Rattus norvegicus: one gene and its partners. The protein of the gene in region 1 purifies or fractionates together with the protein of each later gene. This does not show direct contact. Links are inferred from orthologs where the notes say so. Each region holds a gene or a part of one and is shown in the gene's direction. Other genes may lie near its edges. The genes, in order: Irf2, Irf2bp1 and Irf2bpl.

Region 1 (5,248 bases):
TTGTTTGTTGGTTTTTGCTGGAGTGAGGCAAGAGGCTGAGAAGCCTAGGCAGTCTCAGGTAAGCTGACTTGTAAGAGCACCTCTAACATGCTCAGGACTCACTGGACTGGGCGAGTGAGGGAGAGTTGATACAGCAGCAGTGGGCCACCAGAGATGACCAGGACAGGCCATCCATCTTTTACACCATCTCTGCGCCTGTTCACAGAGAACCAACACCTCTTTCCAGTTTGGGTTTTAAATGTTATTTAGGGTTTTTGTAAAGTCGTTTGCATTACATTACTTAATATCTATTTGTGTGCCTGTGTGTATGCATATGCACAGTATATAGTGTACATAGTGGAAGTCAGAGAACCCCTCACCTCTTTTATTCTTGTTTTTTGACCTCTTAGCTTTTGATAACCCATTTCTAATTATTTCAGAAGTTTTGGTTGAGTCCTTAGAGAAGCTTCTCTCCTGGGCCCACTTGGAAGGAGGCTTGTCAGGATTCTGCCCAGCACATAATGTTCTACAAGTTACCATCTTGTTCACTGGTGTAGTGGTTCTCCACCTTCCTAGGGCCGTGACCAGTTCTTCATGTTGTGGTGAAATTATTTTCATTGCTGCTTCATAACTTCAACTTTGCTAATTTTATGAACCGTAATGTAAGCATCCGATATGCAGAATATCTAATAGCCAACCACGGGAAGGGATCGTTGACCTCCCCAGGTGGGTCGTGACCCACAGGTTGAGAACAGGAGCTCTGGGGTGACAGAACCAATGAGAGTTTTCCCAGACTGGTTGTAGGAGGAGTAAGACAAGTTCCAATTAGTCTTTCAATAGCCATTAGAGGAATGTTCTGCCCCAGGCAGGATACCAGAGAGAAGCAGCAGCCCACCCCATCCATCCTGTTCTCCATCTGGATGGGTGCAGAAGACGAGGCTCCTGCATTTGAACATACAGCACAAGCAAAGGCTGGGCTCAGTTCCTGCATCACACCAGGCTAAAAGTAGCATGAACTTGGAAAACTAACGTAGTGACTCATAATTTTTCTCTCACAAAAAGTGACAAAAGGATCATTTGTCACCAGTAGTTAAACTGCAGATCATGTGAAACACTTAGAGGTCTCTGTTGCAAAGTCAGAATAATTCAATTTTTGAATAATGCAAACCTGGTTGTTTTATTACTTTGATAAGAAATCTAAAAATAGAATGACTTTAAAAAAAAAAGGAAACAAAAAGGGAATGTGCAGCAGTTCTTCCTGTCCTTTGTTTAGAGATCTGTACTTAGTTTCTTAGGGAGGAACTGACGAAATGACGTACATAAGTAGACCGTGGAAAATGATTGAGGAGGGGAAAACGGAACAGGGGCCATTGAGAGAGCCATGGAGAAAAGATGGCGCTACGGTGAGGTGCACATGCGCAGTAGCTGCGTGTGATTCAGGCTGTCAAGAGGGAGGCAAAGTCCTGAGGATGGAGCTTAGGGGAAGGGACTTGAGAAAGGGCCCTTGGATTTGGTAAGAACAGTTTTATTGGTGACCTTTGATGGTAGCAAATGTTATTTAAGAATAAACGCCTTGCCTTGTCGATATTCATCTCCTTTAAGTTTCTATTCAACCCTTGGCATGGTTTCCATTACCATTCTCAGCTCGCACATGACTAAGACGGTTGAAGAGGGGATTCAAGGGTTAAATTCAGCCAGTGAGACGTACAGGAGCCAGGCTTGGTCACCTGGTCTGATTCCAGAGTCCTCTTAGCGTGTCTTCTGCAGATGGGGGCGAGATAGGACTATAGGCCTTCCTAAGGGTGTGCATGAGAAGGTGGGGTTAGCAAAGGCAGGCATTTGCTTAGATGTTTGACCATAAAGGAAGGAAAACTGATAAGGTTCCTCCCCCTCTCCCTGAAAGAACAAGCCTTCTATTGGAACTTACAAGATGCTAAGAGAGAAAATACAAGACACTATCAGAGAAAGGGGTACAATTTCTGCTCAGTGGGCCTGCCCTGGGGTCTTCTGGGTAAACCCTACAGTGAGGATTTTCATTTGTTTGTTTTGTTTTCCTTAAGCTGAGCTGAACCTCAAGGTGATGCCCTTCAGACAGAATGATCAAGGGAGTTTGCCAGAGGATCATGAGACTTGTACAGAGTTTGATCTTATTCCCCAGTGTGACCAGTTGATAAGAATGCCCAGTATGCCTTAGAATGCCTGACTTTACCACTTTACCCACAATGCTCGTCTGCTCGCAGCCCTCTTTCCACTCTCCTCCTCCAGCTTCTTCTTCCATTTTGGATTCCCCCGGAGTTGTCCCACTATGCGGCTTTTGTCTGGCTTGTTGCTATCTCTGAAACAAATGTAGGAAGTACCCTCATCAAAGTTCTGAGAGTCAAGCGTACTTCAGGACTGGCTTTCCTTGATTGCTTGGTACTCTCAGAGAGTGGAGGGTTCAAGTACACTTGAACGAAAAAGAGATATAAAGTTAAAACAAGGGAAGGAATGACATTGACGTAGTCAGTGTCACTGTGCAGCCCCTTGGGCTGGGTGGGAGTTTCAGGCACAAGAAAAGCCCTAATCTGAAGCTATGGAGGTGGGAGTACCTATCTGGTGGTAGGCCAGTGAGGGGAGACTTAGCTCATGTTATCATTGAACCAGCAGTGCAGTGGGCTCAAGTGACCATATCACAAAGTGTGCCCGAGTGCTCACTCCCACCTTCCTCTGAGCTCCCGTCACTGGCTCATGCAGAGGCCAGCCTTCTCCGCAGGAATCCAGGAGCAGGTCCTCCTGAGTGCTCCCTCAGAGGAGAAGGCTCCCATGCAGGGACTCATGTCACAGAGCTGCAAGCCCCATCCAACCACAGAACAGTCTTCTGTGTATCTGCAGCTGCAGGTATTTCCTGAGGGCAAGCCAGATGTGCTGAGACCATTTCCTTGAAGGAAAAATGAAAGAAACCAAATAGCTAGCTTCTTTAATGTCAGGCTGATTTAAAGAGACAGGGGATGCATTTGGGACATGACGTGAATGAATAACCCCAGGATTCAACCAGTTAGACAGGGGGAGAGTTGAAGCTAAGAAAGGGGAGAGGAAGGAAGTGTTCTCAATGCCTTTTTCTTTTCTTCTTCCTAGCAAGAACCAGTTGAGTCATCTTTGGGGCTTAGTAATGGAGTAAGTGGCTTTTCTCCTGAGTATGCGGTCCTGACTTCAGCTATAAAAAATGAAGTGGATAGTACGGTGAACATCATAGGTAAACTGTTTTGACATCTTCTTTTTATACTCACGAGCAGCCTCCGAGGTCTAAACTTTGTAAAAACAGTAATCTCAAAATAACACAGCCAGTAAGAGGAGGTCTTGGAACGTGTTCAAATTCCAGCTCTGGCCCCTAGGTCTCAGGATTTCAATAATGAGATGAAGGCTTGTAGAGGAGTCAGAGAAAAGATGGCTAGGCATTCGAGCTTCCTCTCCGGTGGATAGTGGTTAGCAGTTCTTTATCAATCACTGTCAGCCAAAATGTCATTTGTTTAACTTGGGAACCAAGGAGAGGAAAGGCCATCCCTGTGGGTCCCCTCGGCACTGGCCTTGTGTACATCTACCCAGAGGTAGCACTCATTTTACAGGCCAAGAAAGTGAGGCACAGAACCCTTCTGTCAGAGGACTGACTGGCTCAATAGATTTGCAGAGACTTTCCCACCATCAAATGCAGTTCTGGGCATGAAGTAAATAGGGAACATGCTGGGCCCTATTCCTAGTTTTGTGGGGATCCAGTAACAGGCAAAGCCACAGATAAGCATAGCACCCCATTTGTAGTCTGTGATACAAAGGAAGAGAACGGGTGACTAGGAGTAACCTGCATGGTAGGGCAGGTGTCCTCAGAAGAGTGATCTCCCTGGATAGTGCCTGTGTGAGGTGCAGCAGGTGACATGTGGTGGCAGGCATAATGCTGACAGAAATCCTGTAGAAAGCATCTGAAGGACCAGAAAGCAGCCAGTGGTGCATAGTGTCGGAAGTGTGGTGACTGCTCATGAGGTCCCCTCAGAGGCAGAGGTTCTCTGATGTCTGTTCCTGGTTGTCAGCTTGACCACATCTGGAATTAATTAAAACCCAAGCAGCTGGGCACACCTGTGAGGAATTTCTTTTCCTTAATTAAATCATTTAAAGTGAGAGGACCCACTTTTAATCCAGATCGAGTGAGGTGGGACAGTGCACCTTTAAACTGGGCCACGCCTTCTGCTGGCAGCTTATGTAGAGGCCACAGAAGGAGGAAGATTTTTTAGTTTTACTTGCTTGCCCTCCCCCTCATTTGGCAGTTCCATTCCTTCACTGGCATTAGAGCCTACTTCTTCAGGATTCTGGCATATCTGAAGACCAGCGGAGACATCCAGGCTTATGGGCTGAACAGCTACAGAATTGTTGGACTTTTCATTGGTGGACAGACATTGTCAAAGTAGCTGGACCACAGCCTATAAGCCACTCTAAAATCCTCATTATATGTGTGTATATACATATATATGTCTGTATATGTATATGTACATATATTCTATTGATACATATCTTTATAGAGATTGGTTCCGTTCCTCTAGAGAGCCCTGACTATTAAAGATTTTGGTACTAGAACTGGTTCTAGAACAACAGAAGTATAATATGCATTTTAAAAATATGACTAGGCTTTCCAATATGCCCAAACCTACAGTATTGAAGCCTCTCCTAGAAGTTGAAAGAATATTAAAAGCACATTGTGTGAACTGTTTTGTAAACTGAAAGAGATGAGTGCATTTGGTTATCCTGATTCACCAATTTGAGAGGCAACAGATTTGGTGACCCCGTATAGAAGACATTTGACAATTTATGGGAAAATAGGGAGCATGCTGATCATTGAGTATCCTAGCCATTTTAGATAATTTAACAATGAAATATAATGAGCACCGAGATAAAATTGATCAACTTCTAGTGTCTTGGGATAGTGTGAACAACAACAATGATCTCAGTGATAAAACTGACCTCCGAATGCACAGAAACAGCCTACAGGTTGCTAAGTGTGCCCTGGGAGAGAATCTTCTCTCTGGCAGCCAGGCAACACAGCTTGAAGGAAACCAAACCATAGCCCTCATTGTAAGGCTGACTGAATAACAGTGAAAATTCAAGTCGCAGCCTCGGAGGATGTTGGCAGTTAGAGGAAGGACATTCATTGGTAAAGAATGGGATCCTGTAGCCTGGGATGGAAATGTGTGGGAGGACCCTACTGAAGTCGAGAACTTTGAACCCTCAGGTTCTCGAGGGTTTATCT
Region 2 (5,809 bases), on another chromosome or scaffold:
CTTTGCCGAATAGTTACTGTTCTTGACTTGAAGAGAAGCAACGTGTGGGGACCTCCCCACTGCCCCAGCCCAGACTTCTTCGGAAGGGTTGGAAGTTGCTAGACAAATCAGAATGTAGAAGGTGGAGGATTCTGAGGAGGAGGCAGCAGAATTCTGACTGGGGAGGTATAGGTTGGGTCCTCTGCCTCCCACGGCTGCAAGGTGTGTCTGACCTCTGGAGCTCAGCCCCTCCCCCCTTTCTCTTCAGTGCTGACAAGATGTCAATAAACTTATTTTCATACAATTAACTTGAGGCTCTGAGACGGGCCTTGGGAGGCCAGCGTTTAGGATTGCTCCACCCCTCCCCTGGTAGGCCACACCCTCCCGGAGGATATGCCTCCTGAACCTGAGGCAGGTGATTTTCCCCCTAAAAGCTTTAACTAACCCTGGTGTAGAAGTACACACTGAAGGTTGCAATCCCACCAGTTACTTCAGCAGCCTGTTACCCTGTATTTAAAAAAAAAAATCTCCAAAGAACGTTACAAACAGGATTGAATTGGAGTTTATCTAGGTCTGTTAGAAGTTCAATACAGCAACTTGGGTGGTTAACTCAGGCAAGGACAGATAGCCTGCCTGAGGGTCAGACCCTAGGAGTGTACGGAACAAGAAACAGGCTTAAACAGCCTTAAAGAGCTAAGGGATTGTGGCTCACATGTGCAGTTCCAGTACTAAGAAAGCTTGCTTCGAGTTCAAGGCTAACCTGTGCTTCAGAGACCTGTCTCTAGAAAAAGAAAACAATAAATAAATCCAGGCATGGTTAATGTACTTTTGAAATCTCAGCCTCCAGGAGGTTGAGGAAGGAGAAATCCTGAGCCAGCCTGGGCCACCTAGTAAGGCTCAGTTTCAAAATAAAAATACAGGCTACTAGCACATCTCAGTAGTAGAGCACTTAGCATAAAGCCCTGGATTCCATCCCAGCACCACGTATAAGCAAGAGAAAGTAAATAAACAGTAGTACACGAAACCAATGGTTGCGAACATAGTATCTCCCAGGAAACGACAAAAATAGGCAATTTGTTTAAGGGAGGAGTGTTAAAATAGTAATGCAGGTGGTAGGTAAAATTGTAACGCTGAAATAGAAAGCCTGGGCTGCTGTGACTACTCTGGGGTGGGGGTGAGAAAACCGCCAAGCCTCCACTATGTGGAAACCTGGAAGAATGCAAACTGACAAGACATTCAGAAAAAAAAAAAAATGTTTTGAGAGCACCAGTGGGGGCCCAGGCCGAATGAGGCGAAAGGGCTGATGTGAGCTAGGACCTGGAGACATACATCGCTTCTCCCTCCCCCACCCCCACACTACAAAAAAATACGAAGAGAAAATATGGGGTGCCCAGAGCCAGATTGGGCCCACCAGGCCATTAAGCACTTGGAGGTTTGGTGTTGCCCTTCCCAGCAATCAACTCTTGGCTCCTTCATTCCAAATCTACGAGTAATAAGAGCCCCCGACCCCAGCCCCCAATGGGGGGCGGGGAGCGAAATTCCCTGCTAGTAAGGGGGGGGGGGGCAAGGATTGGGAAGGCCTCCCCTAAGCTTCCAGGCAGAGGAAGTACGTCACTGCGTCCATCTCGCAGAGCATTTTGGGAATTGTAGTGAAATTGGGGATGTACTGAGAAGCCAGCTGTGTAACCCTTTAGAGACCAAAGTACGTGCGCACCTGGAGCAGAACTAGGAGGCTCAGTGAACATTCTTTAGCAGATGAGAAAACTAAGGCAGGCACCTGGCTCGGAAGCTTACAGTCTTCTCATCTTGTTGCCTGTGGGGAGCCCTTGAGGCTAGTTACCTAAGACACTGGGGAGTGGGTGGGAGGACAAACTGCTAAGTAGACGCCACTCTCAAAGAGAGTAGCCTGAACCATCCCCTTGAAACCGTCCAATCAGAACCTCTCCGCCCCATCCCAAAATGCTGCGGCCTTCCTAACCCGTTATTGGCCCTTCTCGAAGAGGCGGGATTCTAAGAGAGGGCAAGACTCTTTTCTAAACCTGCTCAGCAAATCAGAGTAGAAACTGCTTTCCGAGATCTGGGTATGGTCCCAGGCCTGTAAACCCACCGAGAAGGCTGAAGCAGGGAGATTGCAGCAAGAATGAGGCCAGCCTAGGCTACATAGGCTAGCCTTCTAGGCCAGCCTGAGCTAAGGAATAAATCCAAGTCTCAAGAAAAAATGGGGAAAATTGCATGCCCTGCAACTTAACCACCTCGAGCATTTATGAGACCATTACCCATTTCCTGGATCCTGTGTGCAAACCCCGGCTTTTTGTCGAGGCACAGTGAGAATTAAGCTCACAGAGACCAGCGCGCGCCCTCTTTTCCCGCCACTGCTTTCTGCCCAGTCCCCTTTAAGAAGCAGTCCCGACGGGACTACATTTCCCAGAAGGCTTTGCCCGCGCGTTATGTAACTTTCCCTGCGAAGCGGCCTCTGGGGCAGAAGAAGGAGGAGGAGGCGACGGCGGCCGTTGCAGCGGCGTCGGCGGCGGCGCGAGCGAAGCGGCGGGAGCCTGGGGCGGCGGCGCCCGAGGCCCATTCAGGAGCTGGAGCTGTGCATCTCGGCTCGCGGCGCGGACCGGACGGGGGCGCCGACGTGCGTGCTCGTGGCTTGCCTTCTCCACCGGAGGCGGGAGTGAGAAAAAAAAAAAAAAAGGCTGAGGGCCCAGGGGGCGGGGAAGGGGGGCCGGGCCTGAATCCGGCGGGGAGGCCGAGCCGGAGGCCCGACTGAGCGGCTCGCGCGCCGGTCCCGGGGCACGGCGGAGTGAACGTGGGCGGCGGGTGCACAGCGGGGGCACCTGGCGGCGCTCCGGGGGGCGCCATGGCGTCCGTGCAAGCGTCCCGCCGCCAGTGGTGCTACCTGTGCGACCTGCCCAAGATGCCGTGGGCCATGGTGTGGGACTTCAGCGAGGCCGTGTGCCGCGGGTGCGTGAATTTCGAGGGCGCGGACCGCATCGAGCTGCTCATCGACGCTGCCCGCCAGCTCAAGCGCAGCCACGTGCTCCCCGAGGGCCGCTCGCCGGGACCCCCGGCTCTCAAGCACCCGACCTCCAAGGACCTGGCCTCCACGGGCTCCCAGGGCTCCCAGTTGCCACCCCCGCAGGCCCAGGCGCAGCCATCGGGGACCGGAGGTAGCGTCTCAGGCCCGGACCGCTATGACAGGGCTACTTCATCCAGCCGCCTGGCGCTGCCTTCGCCGGCTTTGGAGTACACCCTGGGGTCCCGCTTGGCCAACGGGCTGGGCCGGGAGGAGGCTGTGGCGGAAGGGGCACGCAGGGCTTTGCTTGGCTCCATCCCCAGCCTGATGCCCCCCGGGCTGCTGGCAGCTGCAGTGTCTGGCCTCGGAGGCCGAGCTCTGACGCTGGCACCTGGCTTAAGCCCCGCTCGTCCACTTTTCGGCTCCGATTTCGAGAAGGAGAAGCAGCAGAGGAATGCGGACTGTTTGGCAGAACTGAACGAGGCCATGCGGGGCCGGGCGGAGGAGTGGCATGGGCGTCCCAAGGCTGTAAGGGAACAGCTACTGGCGCTGTCCGCCTGTGCCCCTTTCAATGTCCGATTCAAGAAGGACCATGGGCTGGTGGGACGGGTATTTGCCTTTGATGCCACTGCCCGCCCTCCTGGCTATGAGTTTGAGCTGAAGCTCTTCACCGAGTATCCCTGTGGTTCTGGCAATGTGTACGCGGGGGTCCTTGCAGTGGCTCGCCAGATGTTTCATGATGCTCTTCGAGAGCCAGGGAAGGCCCTGGCCTCATCGGGCTTCAAGTACCTCGAATATGAACGCCGCCACGGCTCAGGGGAATGGCGCCAGTTGGGAGAGCTACTTACCGATGGGGTCCGAAGCTTCCGAGAGCCTGCTCCTGCGGAGGCCCTGCCCCAGCAGTACCCAGAACCGGCCCCTGCTGCTCTGTGTGGCCCACCACCGAGAGCCCCATCCCGGAACCTGGCACCCACACCACGACGTCGCAAAGCATCCCCTGAGCCCGAGGGCGAGACAGCTGGGAAGATGACCACGGAGGAGCAGCAACAGCGGCACTGGGTGGCACCAGGCGGTCCATACTCTACAGAGACCCCTGGTGTGCCTTCACCTATTGCTGCCCTTAAGAATGTGGCGGAGGCTCTGGGCCACTCACCCAAGGACCCTGGTGGGGGTGGAGGCTCTGTCCGTGCAGGGGGTGCTAGCCCTGCAGCTTCCTCCACGACCCAGCCACCAACCCAGCATCGTCTAGTGGCACGCAATGGAGAGGCAGAAGTCAGTCCCACGGCCGGGGCTGAAGCTGTCAGCGGGGGTGGTAGCGGCACAGGGGCGACCCCTGGAGCCCCCTTGTGCTGTACCCTGTGCAGAGAAAGGCTGGAAGACACCCACTTCGTGCAGTGTCCCTCGGTACCTGGACACAAGTTCTGCTTTCCTTGCTCCCGAGAGTTCATCAAGGCACAGGGTCCAGCTGGAGAGGTGTACTGCCCCAGTGGAGACAAATGCCCACTGGTGGGTTCCTCTGTCCCCTGGGCCTTCATGCAGGGCGAGATCGCTACCATCCTTGCTGGTGACATCAAGGTCAAGAAAGAAAGGGACCCCTAGGTTGCCACTGCCGTCAGGCTGCTTCCCCTCCCCCTTAACCATCCTCCGCGACTGCGGATAAATTATTCCCTACCCCACCCAGCCCAGTACCACCCTAACCTGTGTAGATACCCTTTCCTCTGCCCAGATGGGTCCCCTGGGGTAGATACATTGTGGGTGGGGGGAGAGAGCTTGTGGCTCCTGTCAGAGCGGGTGTTTGGAGTTCCTGGGCCCCTCCAGTTTCTTTCTCCTTTCTTGGCTTGGCTTTCCTGCTGTTGGTAGTTGGGGGAAGAGGTACCCCGCTTGTCCTTGAAAGGGACCTCCTGAGAACTCGCTCTTTATAAACGAAGCAAAAGCATTTTATTGTTCCCTTCTCCCACCCTTTTTTTCCTTCAATAAACTGAGAGATGGGTTGTTTTTTTTCCCCCTTCTTGGTCCCTTTAGTTTTATGAGATGCTGCGCCCCCTTCGGGATTGGACTTGTCCTAAGAGAGAGGACTTCTGCGTTGTGACCACTAGGTGGCGCCTTTTGTCCAGTGGGCGGCTGTTTGTAGTAGTGTACATTTGCTGTGCTCTGATTAAAAGGTGTAGTCGAGGCCGGTTTTGCAGACGATGGTACTGAGATTCTGACAGGGTTCAGCTCCTGCACGGCGCTCACAAAGAAACTGGGGAATAGGTTTGCGTTGTAGCCAGCACTCTGAATGCTGAGACGTCAGAGGGAAAGGAAGTAGGAGGCTTTCTCCAAGTAGTTTACTTGAAAATAGTTCTAGGGGAACTGTCCACAGAAAGAGTAAGTTGAACCTCCCTGAGTAAACGTATATGGAAGCAGGATGATGCCTTCTTGCTTCATATGGTGCCAGAGAGATGGACACACCTGAGAAACCTGAACTGGGCTCATGCCCTTCATCTGGGAACAGTGGCTATCACCCTAGAACACCTAGGAGCTAAGTAAAAGGCTCCCACCCGCCGCGGCTGCTTCTGATGTGTGTGCGGCCTTGTCCCGCACCTGTCCTGGGTGACTGATCATTAACCAGGATTTCCTGCTGGCTGGCGTCATGGGGCGGGGTCTGGGGCCTAGGCAGGCTATGGCAAAACAGGGGTTAAAAGGAGGGGGCGGCCCCAGGAACCATGTTCCAGCCCTTACTTGAGACCCTAATTCGTGGAAGGGATGAAAAGCTGAGCCAACAGGACAGTAAATGTTAAGTGAGCCCTGAGACCCAAGGGTATTCCTGATCTC
Region 3 (5,784 bases), on another chromosome or scaffold:
TGGAAAAAAATCTCAGCCCCCTGCACCATCTCTTGGAGATGTGCTTGTGTGCACCCCCACCACTTAAACCAAACGTGCTGGATTCAGACCCCAGGCCAGCTGCTGCAGTAAGTTCAGTCTATTTTCCTAGTCTGTAAAATGGAGTGGAATCTACTTCACTTCATAGAAGACATTCTGGGTTTAATAATGTAAATGCCGTTTTATATAATGTATCTACTTTTTAAAAAAAATTTACTTATTATATATAAATACACTGTAGCAGTCTTCAGACACCCCAGAAGAGGTCATCAGATCCCATTACAGATGGTTGTGAGCCACCATGGGGTTGCTGGGATTTGAACTCAGGACCTCTGGAAGATCAGTCAGTGCTCTTAACCACTGAGCCATCTCTCCAACCCATGTATCTACATTATAATAAAAATAATTAGCTGAAGCAAAGGAACTACTTTTCCAATGCCCATCTTTGTACCTGTCTTAGAGTAACCTGTCACAAGCACAAGGCACAACCTGAAATCGACAACCCATCAAGCTGACAGAGATGATTCCATTTTGCAGAGGGAAAATATTATATAAGCAGAGCTCAAGGTTACAAAGCCGGTAGCAATAGTGAAGAAATTCCAATCCTGTAGGGCAAACCCAGCCTTATCAAATCCCCTCCCCTCCACCAACCTTCCACAGGGATTATGTTAATTTACGTAAGAAAAAAGCAAACTCAATAAATAGGGAAACCAAGTAACATGCCCCAGCCAGAGCTAAGACCAACTCTATCAGTTTTTACAGTAAGCAATAAGGATGGGCAGTGATCTTAGGAGGGAGAAGAAATCATGACCTCCCAGAGTGCACCGGGACAGTGTGGAATTAAATCACAACACACAGAAGGAACTTTGAAAACTGTGCTTTATTTGTTTACGATTCTGAGGATAGTGTTCTGAGCCTGGGTCATCCTGAACAAGCGCTCCCTCGATGAGCTATGTCCCAAACTCTAGCACACAGTGTTATTAAATGCCCCTCCCCGCCTTTATGAAACCCAGAAAACCACTCACCTGTTTGACCAATTCCTCACTCCCCCTTCCCTGCCCTCCTCTGCAGCTGTATTCAGAAGACCTCCGAGTGATCCGAGCTTCTTTAGACATTCAGTCAAAATATTTTATAAAGTTCGGCCAGGGAGAGGGGTGGCTCATTTAGTGATAGTCTCACAACTCCTATTCCATTCTTAGGCTGGGTCGCAAAAGCAAATCTGAAAGGTAATTTCTTGAAGATGGGAGAAATGCTAATTCTGCAGGTGTTTGGGCACCAATGGTGGCAAGGAATGTTAACATTAACGGGGGAGGGAGCTCTCGTCGCAGATTAAATAGGTAATACCCTTATATGAAATTCAAAGTGAAACTCGTCAAACAGGGCATTTAATTTTACTGCCTGGGGGTTTGGTGGGGTGGGGAACGGGAATCGGAAACAACACTCGTGGCTCTTAAATGTTTTGTTACTTGGGAAAGCCAGGCAGGAAAAGGAAAGGTCATCGCCTGTTTCATCCCGCCTCCTCGCCCGGAACCCCCCCTCCCCGGCACCCAAACCCTGGACTTGCAGCTTTAGCTCCCCGGGCCTCAGCTGTGGTACACACACAGCCGAGGGGGGAGGGGAGGGAGGGTGGAGGCGCGGAGGAGGGGCCGACAGGGAGGAATCTGGGCATGCTGCCGCGCATGCGCCTTTCGCAAGCAACAAGTGGGCTCCACAGACAGAGGAAGTGTAAAGGGGGGGCTGGGGGACTGGTGCAGAGCATGGTGGTGACGTCAGCGCTCCGCCCGGGCGGCATCCCGCGCGGCCAAGCCGGGGACAGCGCGAGCCGCAGCCGGAGCAGGAGCGCTGAGACGCGCCTCCGGAACGTAGAGTAACAATCACAACCCCACATTCCAGGCGAGCGCGAGCGGGAAGGGATGCGACCCGGGTGGAGGCGCCGAGCGAGCGCCCTGCAGCCAACGTGAGCGCCGCCAGCCTCTGTGGCCGGAGAGGTGGTCAGGCCAGGGGGTGGTGGGAGCCTGCGTGCGTGCGCTCCTCTCCTCTGCTCTCGTGTGTCTTGGAAACGGTGGCCGCAGCTGCTCTCTCCGGCGTGCAAACCCAGGCGCCGCCAGCGCAACGGCCGTCGCTGCGGAAGGGAAACGCTCCTCTTTTGGCAGCCACCTCCTCCCCCGGCCCTCCCGGGGAATCAGCGGCTTCAGCAAGATTGGACCTGGGCACCGGGTGGCAAAACCTTCTAACCCTCTCCCCGGGGCGCCTGGCGTAGAGAAGACTCAGATCGTAGGGAGGACCCCCTTCGCGTTCCACGCTTCAATCACTCCGGGGAGGGGGCCAAGAGGCCACTGGCGGTCGGCCCCGGACACCCTAGCCCCCTCCCCCCAGGCCCGGAGCTCGCAGCCCTGATCCGCCGCACCAGGAAGAAGGCACCCGGTGCTCTGCTCTGGACAAGACAGCCGCAGTAGGAGGTGGGGGCGAGGAGCGTGCGGAACCCGTCGGTCGCCTGGGCGGTGGAGCCCCCGCCGAGAGGCACTACTGCGCCGGCAGTGGAGACTCGCGCTCCCTCCAGCCCCTGGGGCAGAACTTTCTCGCCCCCCTCCTCTCCCCTCCCCCGCAGCCGGACTCCTTCCCCAGCCAGCTAGTCCTCCCGAAGGAGAAAGCGCCGCGGAGACAGCCCGGGCGGGGGCCTACCTTCCCCGAGGCTGGCATCATGTCGGCGGCGCAGGTGTCCTCGTCCCGGAGACAGTCTTGCTACCTGTGCGACCTGCCTCGCATGCCCTGGGCCATGATCTGGGACTTCTCCGAACCCGTATGCCGTGGTTGCGTCAATTACGAAGGCGCCGACCGCATAGAATTCGTGATCGAGACAGCACGCCAGCTGAAGCGGGCGCACGGTTGCTTCCAAGACGGCCGCTCCCCCGGGCCGCCGCCGCCAGTCGGGGTCAAGACAGTGGCCTTGTCCGCCAAGGAAGCGGCAGCAGCAGCTGCCGCCGCTCAGCAACAGCAGCAGCAACAACAACAGCAGCAGCAGCAGCAGCAGCAGCCACAGCAGCTCAACCACGTCGATGGCTCTACCAAGCCTGCAGTGTTGCCCGCCCCGTCCGGTCTGGAGCGCTATGGCCTGAGCGCAGCGGCCGCCGCGGCTGCTGCCGCCGCCGCCGCGGTTGAACAACGCAGCCGTTTCGAGTACCCGCCTCCCCCGGTGAGTCTGGGGAGCAGCAGCCACGCCGCCCGGCTGCCCAACGGCCTGGGAGGTCCCAACGGCTTCCCCAAGCCGGCACCAGAGGAGGGTCCCCCGGAGCTGAACCGCCAGAGCCCCAACTCATCCTCAGCGGCAACATCGGTGGCTTCTCGGCGTGGGACTCATAGTGGGCTGGTGACCGGGCTGCCCAACCCGGGTGGTGGCGGGGGACCCCAGCTCACCGTGCCCCCCAACCTATTGCCGCAGACGCTGCTTAATGGCCCGGCCAGCGCCGCGGTACTGCCTCCGCCCCATGGGCTGGGGGGAAGCCGAGGGCCCCCGACTCCAGCACCTCCGGGTGCTCCTGGGGGGCCCGCCTGTCTCGGGGGTCCCCCGGGTGTGTCGGCCACTGTATCCTCTGCTCCGTCATCGACCTCGTCGACAGTGGCAGAGGTGGGCGTGGGTGCTGCTGGTAAGAGGCCTGGATCGGTGTCGAGCACAGACCAGGAGCGTGAGCTAAAGGAAAAGCAGCGCAACGCTGAGGCCTTGGCCGAGCTGAGCGAGAGCCTGCGCAACCGCGCGGAGGAGTGGGCTAACAAGCCCAAGATGGTCCGTGACACGCTGCTCACGCTGGCTGGCTGCACGCCCTACGAGGTGCGCTTCAAGAAGGACCATTCGCTGTTGGGTCGTGTCTTTGCCTTCGACGCGGTCTCTAAGCCCGGCATGGACTACGAGCTGAAGCTGTTCATTGAGTATCCCACGGGCTCCGGCAATGTGTACTCCAGCGCGTCTGGGGTGGCCAAACAGATGTACCAGGATTGCATGAAGGACTTTGGCCGGGGTCTGTCCTCTGGCTTCAAATACCTGGAGTACGAGAAAAAGCATGGCTCTGGCGACTGGCGCCTTCTTGGGGACCTACTGCCCGAAGCTGTGCGCTTCTTCAAGGAGGGCGTGCCCGGCGCGGACATGCTGCCCCAGCCCTACCTAGATGCCAGTTGTCCCATGCTACCCACGGCGCTGGTGAGTCTCAGCCGCGCCCCCAGCGCACCTCCAGGAACTGGAGCCTTGCCACCCGCGGCGCCCACGGGCCGGGGTGCAGCAGCCAGCCTGCGCAAAAGGAAGGCATCCCCGGAGCCTCCAGACTCAGCTGAAAGCGCACTGAAGCTCGGTGAGGAGCAGCAGAGGCAGCAGTGGATGGCAAACCAGAGCGAGGCGCTGAAGCTCACTATGTCCGCGGGGGGCTTTGCGGCGCCGGGACACGCAGCAGGGGGACCGCCTCCACCCCCTCCACCTCTGGGACCTCATTCCAATCGGACCACCCCGCCCGAGTCAGCCCCCCAGAACGGTCCGTCCCCCATGGCCGCGCTCATGTCAGTAGCAGACACTTTGGGCACAGCGCATTCGCCCAAGGATGGCAGTTCAGTGCACTCCACCACTGCATCTGCTAGGCGAAACAGCAGCAGCCCGGTGTCGCCTGCCTCCGTGCCGGGGCAGCGTCGCCTGGCATCACGCAATGGGGACCTGAATTTACAGGTGGCACCCCCACCGCCTAGCGCCCACCCGGGCATGGACCAAGTGCACCCCCAAAACATTCCGGATTCCCCTATGGCCAACAGCGGGCCCCTCTGCTGTACCATTTGCCACGAACGTTTGGAGGACACTCATTTCGTTCAGTGTCCATCCGTCCCTAGCCACAAATTTTGTTTCCCTTGTTCTAGAGAGAGTATCAAAGCCCAGGGGGCCACAGGTGAGGTGTATTGCCCCAGCGGAGAGAAATGCCCCCTAGTCGGGTCTAATGTACCTTGGGCCTTCATGCAGGGCGAAATCGCAACTATCTTAGCTGGGGATGTTAAAGTGAAAAAAGAGAGAGACCCTTGAACCGCGCAGGGCAGCGACCTCCTTTGCCCTAGACCACCTCCTCTTCAGTCTGGAGGGCCCTTCCCCCACCTGCCTCCACCTTCCCTATCCACCAAGATGTAGAATTGTGAATAAAACTGCAAAAAGTTAGTCTTATGTATAGACATTATTTTCGTCGGTATGTTTCTATATTTTGAAACAGGTATGTAACTTCTTCATTTGAAGGATAAGCCGATTTGTGTTAAGCAGTATAATATTGATTGGGTCTTTCGCATCATATTCGTTAGCATTTATTTGGTGGCAGAATGTTTGCCTAGGTACAGAATTAATAGCCCTTAGCAACGACTGCTGCTGGTGTGTGTGTATTTTTGTAAATGTTATGCACTCTGAAAGGATAAAACACACAAAAGAAAAAGATTTTGTTGTTTTTGTTTTGCCAAGGCCAGTGTTGCTGCCTAAAAAAAAAAAAAAAAACAAAAAACAAAAAACAAACAAAAAACAAAAAAAAAATTTGATGCTATAAAATGGTAAAAGCTTCTTTCTAAACAGCCCCAAGTGTTGAAGTCTTCACTTAATTTTGTTCTGTTTTGTTTTTCTGTTTTGTTTGCAAAATGGTAAGGGGGGTGTTGGGAGGGGATGGGTGTTTTTTTGTTGCAAGTTTGTGAAGGGGGTAAAAATGTTTTGGTTTGTTTCTACTGACCTGAATGTGTTGGATCTTCACGTGTTGTTTTGTTTTG

The links.
Region 2: the proteins of Irf2 (region 1) and Irf2bp1 purify together in Homo sapiens (affinity purification with mass spectrometry; 4 studies listed by BioGRID and IntAct, counting the BioPlex papers as one, with this or other methods). This does not show direct contact. The link is inferred for Rattus norvegicus from reciprocal best matches to the Homo sapiens genes IRF2 and IRF2BP1.
Region 3: the proteins of Irf2 (region 1) and Irf2bpl purify together in Homo sapiens (affinity purification with mass spectrometry; 3 studies listed by BioGRID and IntAct, counting the BioPlex papers as one, with this or other methods). This does not show direct contact. The link is inferred for Rattus norvegicus from reciprocal best matches to the Homo sapiens genes IRF2 and IRF2BPL.

What each region holds. Positions count from the first base shown.
Region 1 is NC_086034.1:52,197,892-52,203,139, reverse strand, and holds part of Irf2 (interferon regulatory factor 2), read left to right. Parts: exon of another isoform or gene 1-2,314; intron 2,315-3,093; coding exon 3,094-3,211; intron 3,212-5,248. UniProt on the Homo sapiens protein: Specifically binds to the upstream regulatory region of type I IFN and IFN-inducible MHC class I genes (the interferon consensus sequence (ICS)) and represses those genes. Also acts as an activator for several genes including H4 and IL7.
Region 2 is NC_086019.1:87,778,316-87,784,124, forward strand, and holds Irf2bp1 (interferon regulatory factor 2-binding protein 1), read left to right. Parts: upstream 1-2,466; 5' UTR 2,467-2,839; coding exon 2,840-4,594; 3' UTR 4,595-5,168; downstream 5,169-5,809. UniProt on the Homo sapiens protein: Acts as a transcriptional corepressor in a IRF2-dependent manner; this repression is not mediated by histone deacetylase activities. May act as an E3 ligase towards JDP2, enhancing its polyubiquitination. Represses ATF2-dependent transcriptional activation.
Region 3 is NC_086024.1:112,258,307-112,264,090, reverse strand, and holds the start of Irf2bpl (probable E3 ubiquitin-protein ligase IRF2BPL), read left to right. Parts: upstream 1-1,826; 5' UTR 1,827-2,719; coding exon 2,720-5,068; 3' UTR 5,069-5,784. UniProt on the Homo sapiens protein: Probable E3 ubiquitin protein ligase involved in the proteasome-mediated ubiquitin-dependent degradation of target proteins. Through the degradation of CTNNB1, functions downstream of FOXF2 to negatively regulate the Wnt signaling pathway.